2 linked regions of the Nothobranchius furzeri genome follow. The protein of the gene in region 2 interacts with the protein of the main gene of each other region in a pairwise test. Links are inferred from orthologs where the notes say so. Each region holds a gene or a part of one and is shown on either strand. Other genes may lie near its edges.

Region 1 (4,518 bases), on a different chromosome or scaffold from region 2:
GTGTGTGTGTGTGTGTGTGTGTGTGTGTGTGTGTGTGTGTGTACTTTTAACTTTAACCTGTAACGCAAGGACATTTTTACACTGTGGGGATATTTTGCTGGTCCACACAACGCTAAGCACCCAAACACTTGGTTCTAGAGGTATGGTGTGAATTCACTTAGTTTAGGTTAGGGTTAAAAATAGAACCCCATGGGTTTTGCTTAGGATTAGGAAAAGTGAAGTCACAAAAATGAAAGGAAGTCAATGGAGGGTCCACACAAGGATACGGAGACAAGTACGACTGTGTGTGTGTGTGTGTTACCTGGCATGGTAGAAAGGCGGTCCTTTCCTGTATAACACTGGAAACAAACACAGACTGAATGTTTCTCAGAGTCATCATCGTTACCTTAAATCTGACAGCACCAGAGCATTTTTGGGTAAATCTGCTCTGATTGTTGACTGACTAGATATTTGTGTGATTTCTGTTCTTACTGAGATCGGCACCATACTTGGCCCCGCCTCCTCCTTTAGGGACCCACCCCTTGCTGCGAAAATGATGATAAGCAGCGTACAAGCTGATGAAGTCAGGATGAAGCGATCGGAACTTCCTCCAAAGCTGGATGATTGACAGTGGCTCCTGACCAATCACAGGAGAGAACAGAGACAAGTTCAACTCTTTATGATAGGAACCAAGCGATGAACTAACACTACACACCTGCTGAAGGTAGACGGAAAGGCAACCCAGACTGTAGACCAGGAAGAAGGCCTGTAGGTCAGCAGACAGGTGAGTGGGCAGGTAAATACTGAAGCAAACCTAATCAAAGTCCATGACTCAGGTGTGTTACCTCCTCCAGACCAAGTTGCAGGTACTCTGTGAAAGACAGTGGACTCCGCCTCACCTCTCTGACTCCTCCTCCGTCCTGCAGCCATACGACAGCAAATCATCAACAACAGAAGCAGCTCAGAAACACAACAGGACCTGCAGCTTCAGAGACCCACCTGACCTTCAGAGACCACCAGGACAAAACCAGGACCTGGAACCATAAGACCATTATCGAGATCCGAGTCAGAGGCTGGATCAGGACCAGAATCTGGGGTTGAGTCAGAGTCCTGTTCAGAGCTAGAATCAGGATCCTGTTGATTTGATCTGAATGTTGACAAGAAAAAGGTTTATTCGGTCGAAGAAAACCAACTGATCAAAACTCCTTGCACGCTGGCCTGAATTCACAGCTCCCTCCATCAGCCTCTTTGTGCTACTGCTGTACCTGCATTATGTTTCCCTGGTCTCAAAGGCTTTCTGCTGCATTTAAAATCCTATAAACCTATGCCTGTTGACCAACTTGGGGCTTCATCAGACTCACTGGGGTTCTTTTGGGGATTTAGCTGGTCTATGTTGGCCCATTAGGGATACAGAGAGCCCCATAGCACTGACCCAAGAACCCTCCCAGGCCAAACGGCAGTTCTCTGGATAGAAATCTGGACCTTCATGCAAGCTCAGATGGACCAAGAACCTGCTGTTTCTATCAGCTTCAACACAGTCATGAAAATCTTCACTCTAGATTGATCTGTCATTCTACAAATGCTGTCCTGAGCCAGAATTTGTGTTTGACCTCTCAGTCCTTTTGAATATCACCTGTACCTTTCATTTTTAACCATGTCTTTAGTTTATTGGTACTTTAGCAGGACCTTCAGGGTTCTAACAAAGCCAAGTGTGCTGGTTTGACATAAAACAGTCTACATTTACCTGCAGCCTCTCTTGGCTTCTGGCTCCACCTCTGACTCCAACCTCTGCCCCTTTGGGAGATCACAGGCTTCTATTGGCTTCACCTCTTCTTCCTCCTCCCTTGTTCCGTTCTCCCCCTCTGCCTGCCCTCCTCCCAACTCCTTCTTTACATCTTCAATGTCCACTGCCCGAGTCAACGCGAGCAGGGTTTTACCGAACACTTCTTCATCCAGTCCTTCAGCAGAGAGAGCCTCCTTTGCCCATCTGAGCAGCTCCTCATACCTGTGAAAGATAACGTGTGACATCATCATAACAGAAGTGATGTCACTGTGTGAACAGGTAGCTTATGATGGCACTGACCTGGATGGAGAGACAACAGGCAGAAGTAGACCTGCGTGTTCTGTAACACAAACAGAGACCAGGTGTGAACAGCACAGACTGGACCAGACTGACAGTGACATCACTGCAGGTGTCAACTCACGCTCCCATTTGTCCGAGACGCTGTGGTTGGGCCTGGCTCTGGACAGAACACCTTTTCCAAAGAAACCCTGAAAACAACAAACTCTGGTCAGTCTAGATGTGTTCTACTGACAGCTTTCAGAAGGTCAGGGGGCTAAGTGTGGAGGAACCGGGAAGGAACCAGTGGAAGGTCTCAAGGATCTCTGAACAACCCAGAGCTGTCAGTCAAAACAAACTACATTTTACGTGAGACTCGCCTGCCTCCGATTCAAACCAAACAACCGAGTGGACAGAAATGGAATAAAAACTAAAGGCAGGCTGACAGGAGACGAAGAACAAGACCTGGTTTCTAATGTGAACGAACTCTGACCTGGTTGTGGATCTTCTGGATGTGGTCCGGATGACAGACCAGAACCTGCTGGTTGATGAGCTCCGCTCGGTAGACCTTCCTCTCATGCGGGTCCCGGCTCACCGGCAGCGGAGCCTCGTAGTCCTCATAAACCCGGGTTCGTCGTTGGGGAGCCCGGAACTCTGCCCGCATGGTGCCGGCTCCGGCAGAGCCCGCGCTGGTTCCGGGCTGATGGTGAGAACTGTAGGGTCGGTATTATTCTGTTAGCGCATCTGTTAGCACTCAGCGAGGGGACTTGTTTTACTGTCGGACGAGGCAGTGTAACTAAATATATGTTCGTGCGCCAACATCGGCTAATTTTATCGGTTCCTCCTACAGCTGAAATGTTATTTTCATGTGATTTTTGTCTGAAGTATAATCTACAATAAACCGGTACTTCACTTTATCTTCAGAAGCTTTTAAAACGTTGACTTTTTGTTCACTTTACGGTTCTAATTGATTCAGACACTTGTTTCTGTTTGAGTCTGAAACAGGCCACACATAAATTTTTATTTACAAAATAAATAAAACAATACAAAACAAAGTTAGGAAGGACCAAAGACTCAAACAAAAACAGAACATGAAATCAGTTTCACTTATTCACAATGTCAGACAATTAAATGAATAATAAATATTCTCTGAAACACCAGAACAGACCAAACCCACCGAAACCCCCGGGTCAGAGGTCCTCTCCATTATGGTGATGTTTGTGTTTTTAGATATTTGCTTTATATCTGCAGTGTTTCTTTAAGTGTTACATTTAAATTTAGAATTTTGGTATTTTGGGGGTAATGACATCCTGATTAAGTTGGTTTAACTGGTGGGCGTGGTGTCCTCCTGTCTGTCCACCACATAATACTGGTGTTTCTGGATGTGCTGGTACAGCGTGGTGTATTTGGACACCCTCCTCATCTTGGGCAGGATGAAGCAGTGGGTGAAGTCTTCTCTGCTCAGAGGGCTGCGTCCCTCTGCCTCCAGGATGCTGTTCAGGAAGTGAAGACAGAAGCTGAAGCAGTTGTGGTCGTCCTCGTGGAACCTGAGATACACACTGGTGGTCAGGTGGTGGTCGGAGAGAACTTTGGATGTCTCACATGAAACTTACTTGTGCCACACAGGATCCCACATGGGTCCATCAGAGAAACGCTCCAGGTACTGGTCCCACTGATCCAGCAGGTGGAACATATCAGGTCGGACCAGCGGGACACTGATGCAGCATTCCCATCCGCTTTGGTCCCGTTGCACGCCATCCTGAGTGTAGTTGTACACAACTCCTAAGACACACAGGTGGGACACTCAGGTGAGACACACAGGTGGGACACTCAGGTGAGACACTCAGGTGAGACACTCAGGTGAGACACTCAGGTGAGACACTCAGGTGAGACACACAGGTGAGACACACAGGTGGGACACTCAGGTGAGACACTCAGGTGGGACACAAACACAAACAGGCAAATCTTTACATCAAACCATTTTATAACTTTTTCATTTATTTTTGTTTCTTCCTTCTTAGATATTGTCGCTCACATCTTTTTGACTTTTTCTTTTCTCTCCTGAAGGTCAAAGATCAACATGAACTTCTCCTGTAAGCAAGGCTTCGTAGAGGTGTGTGAACACACAAATTTCTGATGGTGGCTTCCGTTTGAGTGTGACTTCCTCCTAACAGCATCTTTGCTGCTGCTGCAATTGGCTGTTCAGTCGATAGTGCTGATAAACAGTTTCTGCTCTGAACATCTGGCTCTCTTCAGTGCTTGAGTCCATTTAACCCTCGCAGACCCGGTCCAACACGCCTCAGGTCGAGCTTTTACCTTTAGTGTCAGAGATGCCGGTGTGCAGATCGGACGTCCCGTCAAAGTCTCTGAGACACAAACAGCAGAAAATGCTGGTTAGACTAATTCAAACTGGTTTGAACTGGAACATACCAGGTGACACTGGTTACAATTAGATGATAAAAAAGCTTCATGTGATTCAG
Region 2 (4,396 bases):
TGTTGATGTAAATTTCGTCCTCAGTGGGATTTTGAGTCTTCTGTCCACAACAAACACCAAGATCGATCAAGAAGCTCACCAGCATGGCCTCGAGGACGCTGAGCCAAACCAAGGTGAACACTGAGATGCAGAGGATGGCTAGAACAAAAGCACACCTTTCTATTTTTCATTCAGTTGACCTTCATTTAACTACGTTAGTCGATTGAGCACCCATTCTCATTTACAATGATGACCGGGCCAAGAGGCAGGCAACACCATGAGATGTTGCTGAACATGGAGGGTGGGGGCTATACATGTAAGCACGAGTGTTAAATAAATGAGTTAAGCATATGAGTGTCACAGCAAAGGGTCTGAATACTTAGGATCATGTGACATTTCTGTGTTTTTCTGTCAGTATGGGGTGCTGAGTGCACATTAATGAGGAAAAAATGAATTTAATTGATTTTAGCAAATGGCTGCAAAACAAAGAGTGAAAAACTGACGGGGGTCTGAAAACTTTCTGTACTTACTGTATGTAAAGTCAAACTTCCTGTCACCCTTTTAAACTCTGAATAGTTTCTATTGTAAAATCATCCAGTGCTAAATGTTTTCTGACAATTTTTTTTTTACGAAAAGAACTATAGGGATGCAACAATACCACTTTTTTCCAAACCAATACGATACCGATACTTGGATCTGAGTACTCGCCGATACCGAGTACCGAGACGTTTACCACACAAAAAAATGCAATGAATTGGAATACAGGTTTTATTTTCTTCTCTTCTTTCAACAGGAAAAGACTGTGAGGAAGATAAAAAATAAAATATATTAATAGAAATTATCACATATGATCATGCATCCCTAAAATGAAATAGTTTAATATTATGAAGCATATTTGCATTCTTCCACCATAAATCATAAGAACATGTTTGTTCATTTAAAAGATGCGTTAATATATCATTCAGTTTGTTCCTTAGAGTACTAAATATAAAACAAGAACCTTTCACCAATAATCTCTGATGCCAGTTTGTTTTGAATTCCTGTTGCAAACGTAACTGCTCAGGTGTCAAAGTGGCAGCAGGTTATAAAGTCTGATGACTTTTTATGAAAGATAAAGTATGATTCTGATAGATCTAGTCCCCAAGAGGAAACAAAAAGCTTCTCCTAAGTGTCGACAAACTGATTGGCCCTGTATAAATAAATGTCCAGTAGATCAAATCTTTGCCACCAAAACTAACTTTCATTAAAAATCAGAGCTAGAAAATCCATCCAGCAGACTCAGACTGACATAAATGTCCTAGACACGTGATCCTCAGGGATAGACGTCCCGCGGCAGCTGGAAGTCTTTGAAGCTGTAGAAGGAAATGTCTCCGTGGTCGACGACAGCAAAGACAACGGGGACGTCTCCGCTCTGAAAGGTCAGCTGCTTGATGACTCCCAGATCAGGAACAGGACCACTGAAGCTGGAACAGAGTCAGCTCTGTGAGAATCATCGGCTGAAATTTCATCTGCAACATTGAGGAAATCACTCTGAAAACTCATCAACAGGAAACTAAATCTGAGAACAAAAACAAACTCACGGTGCCACAAGTTCTTATTAGCGTTCTCCTGACATTAACAAAGCAAAAAAACAAAACCATCAGTAATCTATCCTCATCAGAACAAAGGGCTGGTTCGGGTCGTGTTAATGGTTTCTCTGAAAGTCAATCCTGAATCAACAAGCACTCCGGCTGTCATCGCTCACCTACAAACACACATGCGGGCGTACGGCTTCCCCGGGTTGCTCTTCCTGAAGTCAGCCACCGAATCAGGCTGGTAAACATTGAAACAGATCCTCCACTCGTCCGCGCCTTTTAACCTGAGCAGACAAAAGGACACCGGCTCAAAGTCTTCGCTCTCAGAGAACAGCAGCACAAATAAAACAAACCCGAGCCCACGCTTTAGGAGTTAAAGGTCATAAAGAGTGACACGAATCACGCCCGATTTATCGTCTTCTTTCAAAGGCGACTCAGCGCCGACTAGGGTTGTCACGGTATGAAAATTTAACGTCACGGTTATTGTGACCAAAATTATCACGGTTTTCGGTATTATCGCGGTATTTTTTAAACGGTGTTGCATATGTTCAGAAAGCATTGATAGTCCTGTTCTACACAAACTGAAATAGTTTTGAAAAGGTTTAACAGTGTTTATTAAACCTAAAATAACACAAAGCCTTAGCAAAAGTGCAACTTTTCACAAGTAAAGGAACAAATAGCTTCTTTTTCTGCAACATGTTACAGTAGTCAGTGCAGGTTTAAATTATACAAATCCAAACATTCAAAACATAAACAATATGTAAACAAATCAAAGAAACACCACTTGTTTTCTCATATACTTGTTTTCTTCATTATCAAAATGAAAATCTAAAACTCCAGTCCACACTTGACTTGAGCACTGTACAAGTCAACCTTAAAAAATATGTATTTAAAATAAATATCCACTTTAAACAAATTACTAAAATTACTACTACACTATGTAATCAAATCCAAATGTTCAAGTATAAATGGCATTGAATAAATAAACAAATCAATGACAAGGAACTAATTGTATATTTCTCTTCATCATCAACAAATAAGATGCTTCATCCAGCAACAGGGTGTCCGTGACACGGTTTAAATGCTGGCAGAGAACGCTGCGGCTGCAGTATATAGTGACTCGTTGCATTCTCCCTCAACCAAAAGTCCTCATGTCATGCATTTAAGCTAAAATGCTAATGTTAACATTTATTAAATGTCATTATTACTACTATTACTGTTGTTGTTATTGGTAATGGTTTTTACTGTTTATTGTTGCTAGAGGTGCTGAAAAAACCGATTCAAGTCTGAATCGGGATTCTTATTTATAAAGATTCAGAATCGATTCACAAAGGTTCAGAATCGATTCCAAGAACTCAAACATTTGGCACGTTACAGGTTTGAGAAACACTTTTGTGATCTTTGTTAGGAGAGTCAATACTCCGATTACTTTCGTAAACATGGCCTATCATTCCATCTGTATGCTGACGATTACCAGATTTACTCTCCATTGTGTCAGGAGAAAGGTCACTCTATTCAGTCCTTTGTCTCCTTTGTTAATGAGGTGAAGTCTTGGCTAATGTCCAACTATCTACATCTGAATGAGGGAAAGACAGAGCTCATTGTTTTTCACCCCAACAGCAGGAATGTGGATCGTTATGCTGATCTTGGCCCTCTTTCTCCATACTCAAAACCAGTTGTTACCAGTTTGGGGGTGAAACTTGATGTAGGACTTAAATTTGATGCTCACATCAATTCTGTGATCCGGTCCAGTTTCTTTCACCTGAGACGCCTTGCTAAAATCAAGCATATGCTGTCGAGAGCTCACCTGGAGCAGGTACTGCATGCCTTTGTAATTTCTCAGCTTGACTACTGCAACTCTCTCTACGCAGGGTTGTGTCAGTCAACACTGCGTCGCCTACAGGTTGTGCAGAACAGCGCTGCCAGGTTCCTGAATGGGACCAGGAAACGGGACCACATCAGTCCAGTTCTGGCCTCCCTGCACTGGCTTCTGATTTGCTATCGCTCACAATTCAAAATACTCGTCTTTGTTTATCATTTCTTCCAGGGTGGTGCTCCCCCTATCTGGCCACACTCCTGAACAGACATTCCCCATCACGCGCTCTGCGCTCCTCTGACCAAGGCCTGCTCGCTGTCCCTCGGTCTAGGTGTCGTACCCGTGGGGACCGGGCTTTCTCAGTCCTAGCACCGTTACTCTGGAACCAGTTGCCACCCTCAGTTAGGCTGTCCCCTTCTCTGCCAGTCTTTAAGAATCACCTAAAATCACACCTCCTCCGCTTGGCGTTTCCAGAACATGTTTGATTATGGCCCTCTATTATGTTGAATCCATTCCACAGTTTTCATTGGTACACTCAATCCATCCACTCAATCCAATTGTGTCTCACACATTTGTATTTTACCGGAATGTTTCATCTATCTTGTAATTTCCATTTTGTATTTTGTAATTTGAATTTCTTTTATTGTTGATTTATTGTGTATAATTACTTACAACTGTACCATGTTCAGCGCTTTGGGCTTCCTGACAGGGTTGCGGAAGGCGCTTTATAAATAAAGCTTTGATTGATTGATTGATTACTTTTGTGGTCCCATAAATTGAGATGATTTATGTTTGAATCTGCTGATAAGAGGGCCCTTGAATGTCATTTTTTCCATACTCAGAAATTTGAGATATTCTCATATTCATTTTCTAAGTTGATAAATGAGTACTCAGGATTACTCATGTAACTTGTTTCTACACATACTTGAAAAGTATTTGACCATATTACTTTCACAGCTACTGTTAGGTAACTACAGATCATGTGTTATATTTTACAAGGTAAGCAAAAATAAATGTTGCCTTTTGG

What was found.
Region 1: the proteins of tsen54 (region 2) and tsen2 interact in a two-hybrid assay, tested with the Homo sapiens proteins (2 studies listed by BioGRID and IntAct). The two-hybrid records come from large-scale screens. The link is inferred for Nothobranchius furzeri from reciprocal best matches to the Homo sapiens genes TSEN54 and TSEN2.

What each region holds. Positions count from the first base shown.
Region 1 is NC_091743.1:77,138,741-77,143,258, reverse strand, and holds the start of tsen2 (tRNA-splicing endonuclease subunit Sen2), read right to left. Parts: upstream 2,832-4,518; 5' UTR 2,703-2,831; coding exon 2,532-2,702; intron 2,251-2,531; coding exon 2,184-2,250; intron 2,103-2,183; coding exon 2,063-2,102; intron 1,985-2,062; coding exon 1,724-1,984; intron 1,127-1,723; coding exon 979-1,126; intron 900-978; coding exon 825-899; intron 746-824; coding exon 695-745; intron 617-694; coding exon 472-616; intron 339-471; coding exon 302-338; intron 1-301. Other genes in the region: MKRN2 opposite strand protein, read right to left, coding at 3,363-3,585, 3,652-3,820, 4,355-4,404.
Region 2 is NC_091745.1:25,422,227-25,426,622, reverse strand, and holds the end of tsen54 (tRNA-splicing endonuclease subunit Sen54), read right to left. Parts: intron 1,838-4,396; coding exon 1,724-1,837; exon of another isoform or gene 1,560-1,723; intron 1,488-1,559; coding exon of another isoform or gene 1,484-1,487; exon of another isoform or gene 1,443-1,483; coding exon 1,292-1,442; 3' UTR 1,268-1,291; exon of another isoform or gene 949-1,267; intron 780-948; 3' UTR 734-779; downstream 1-733.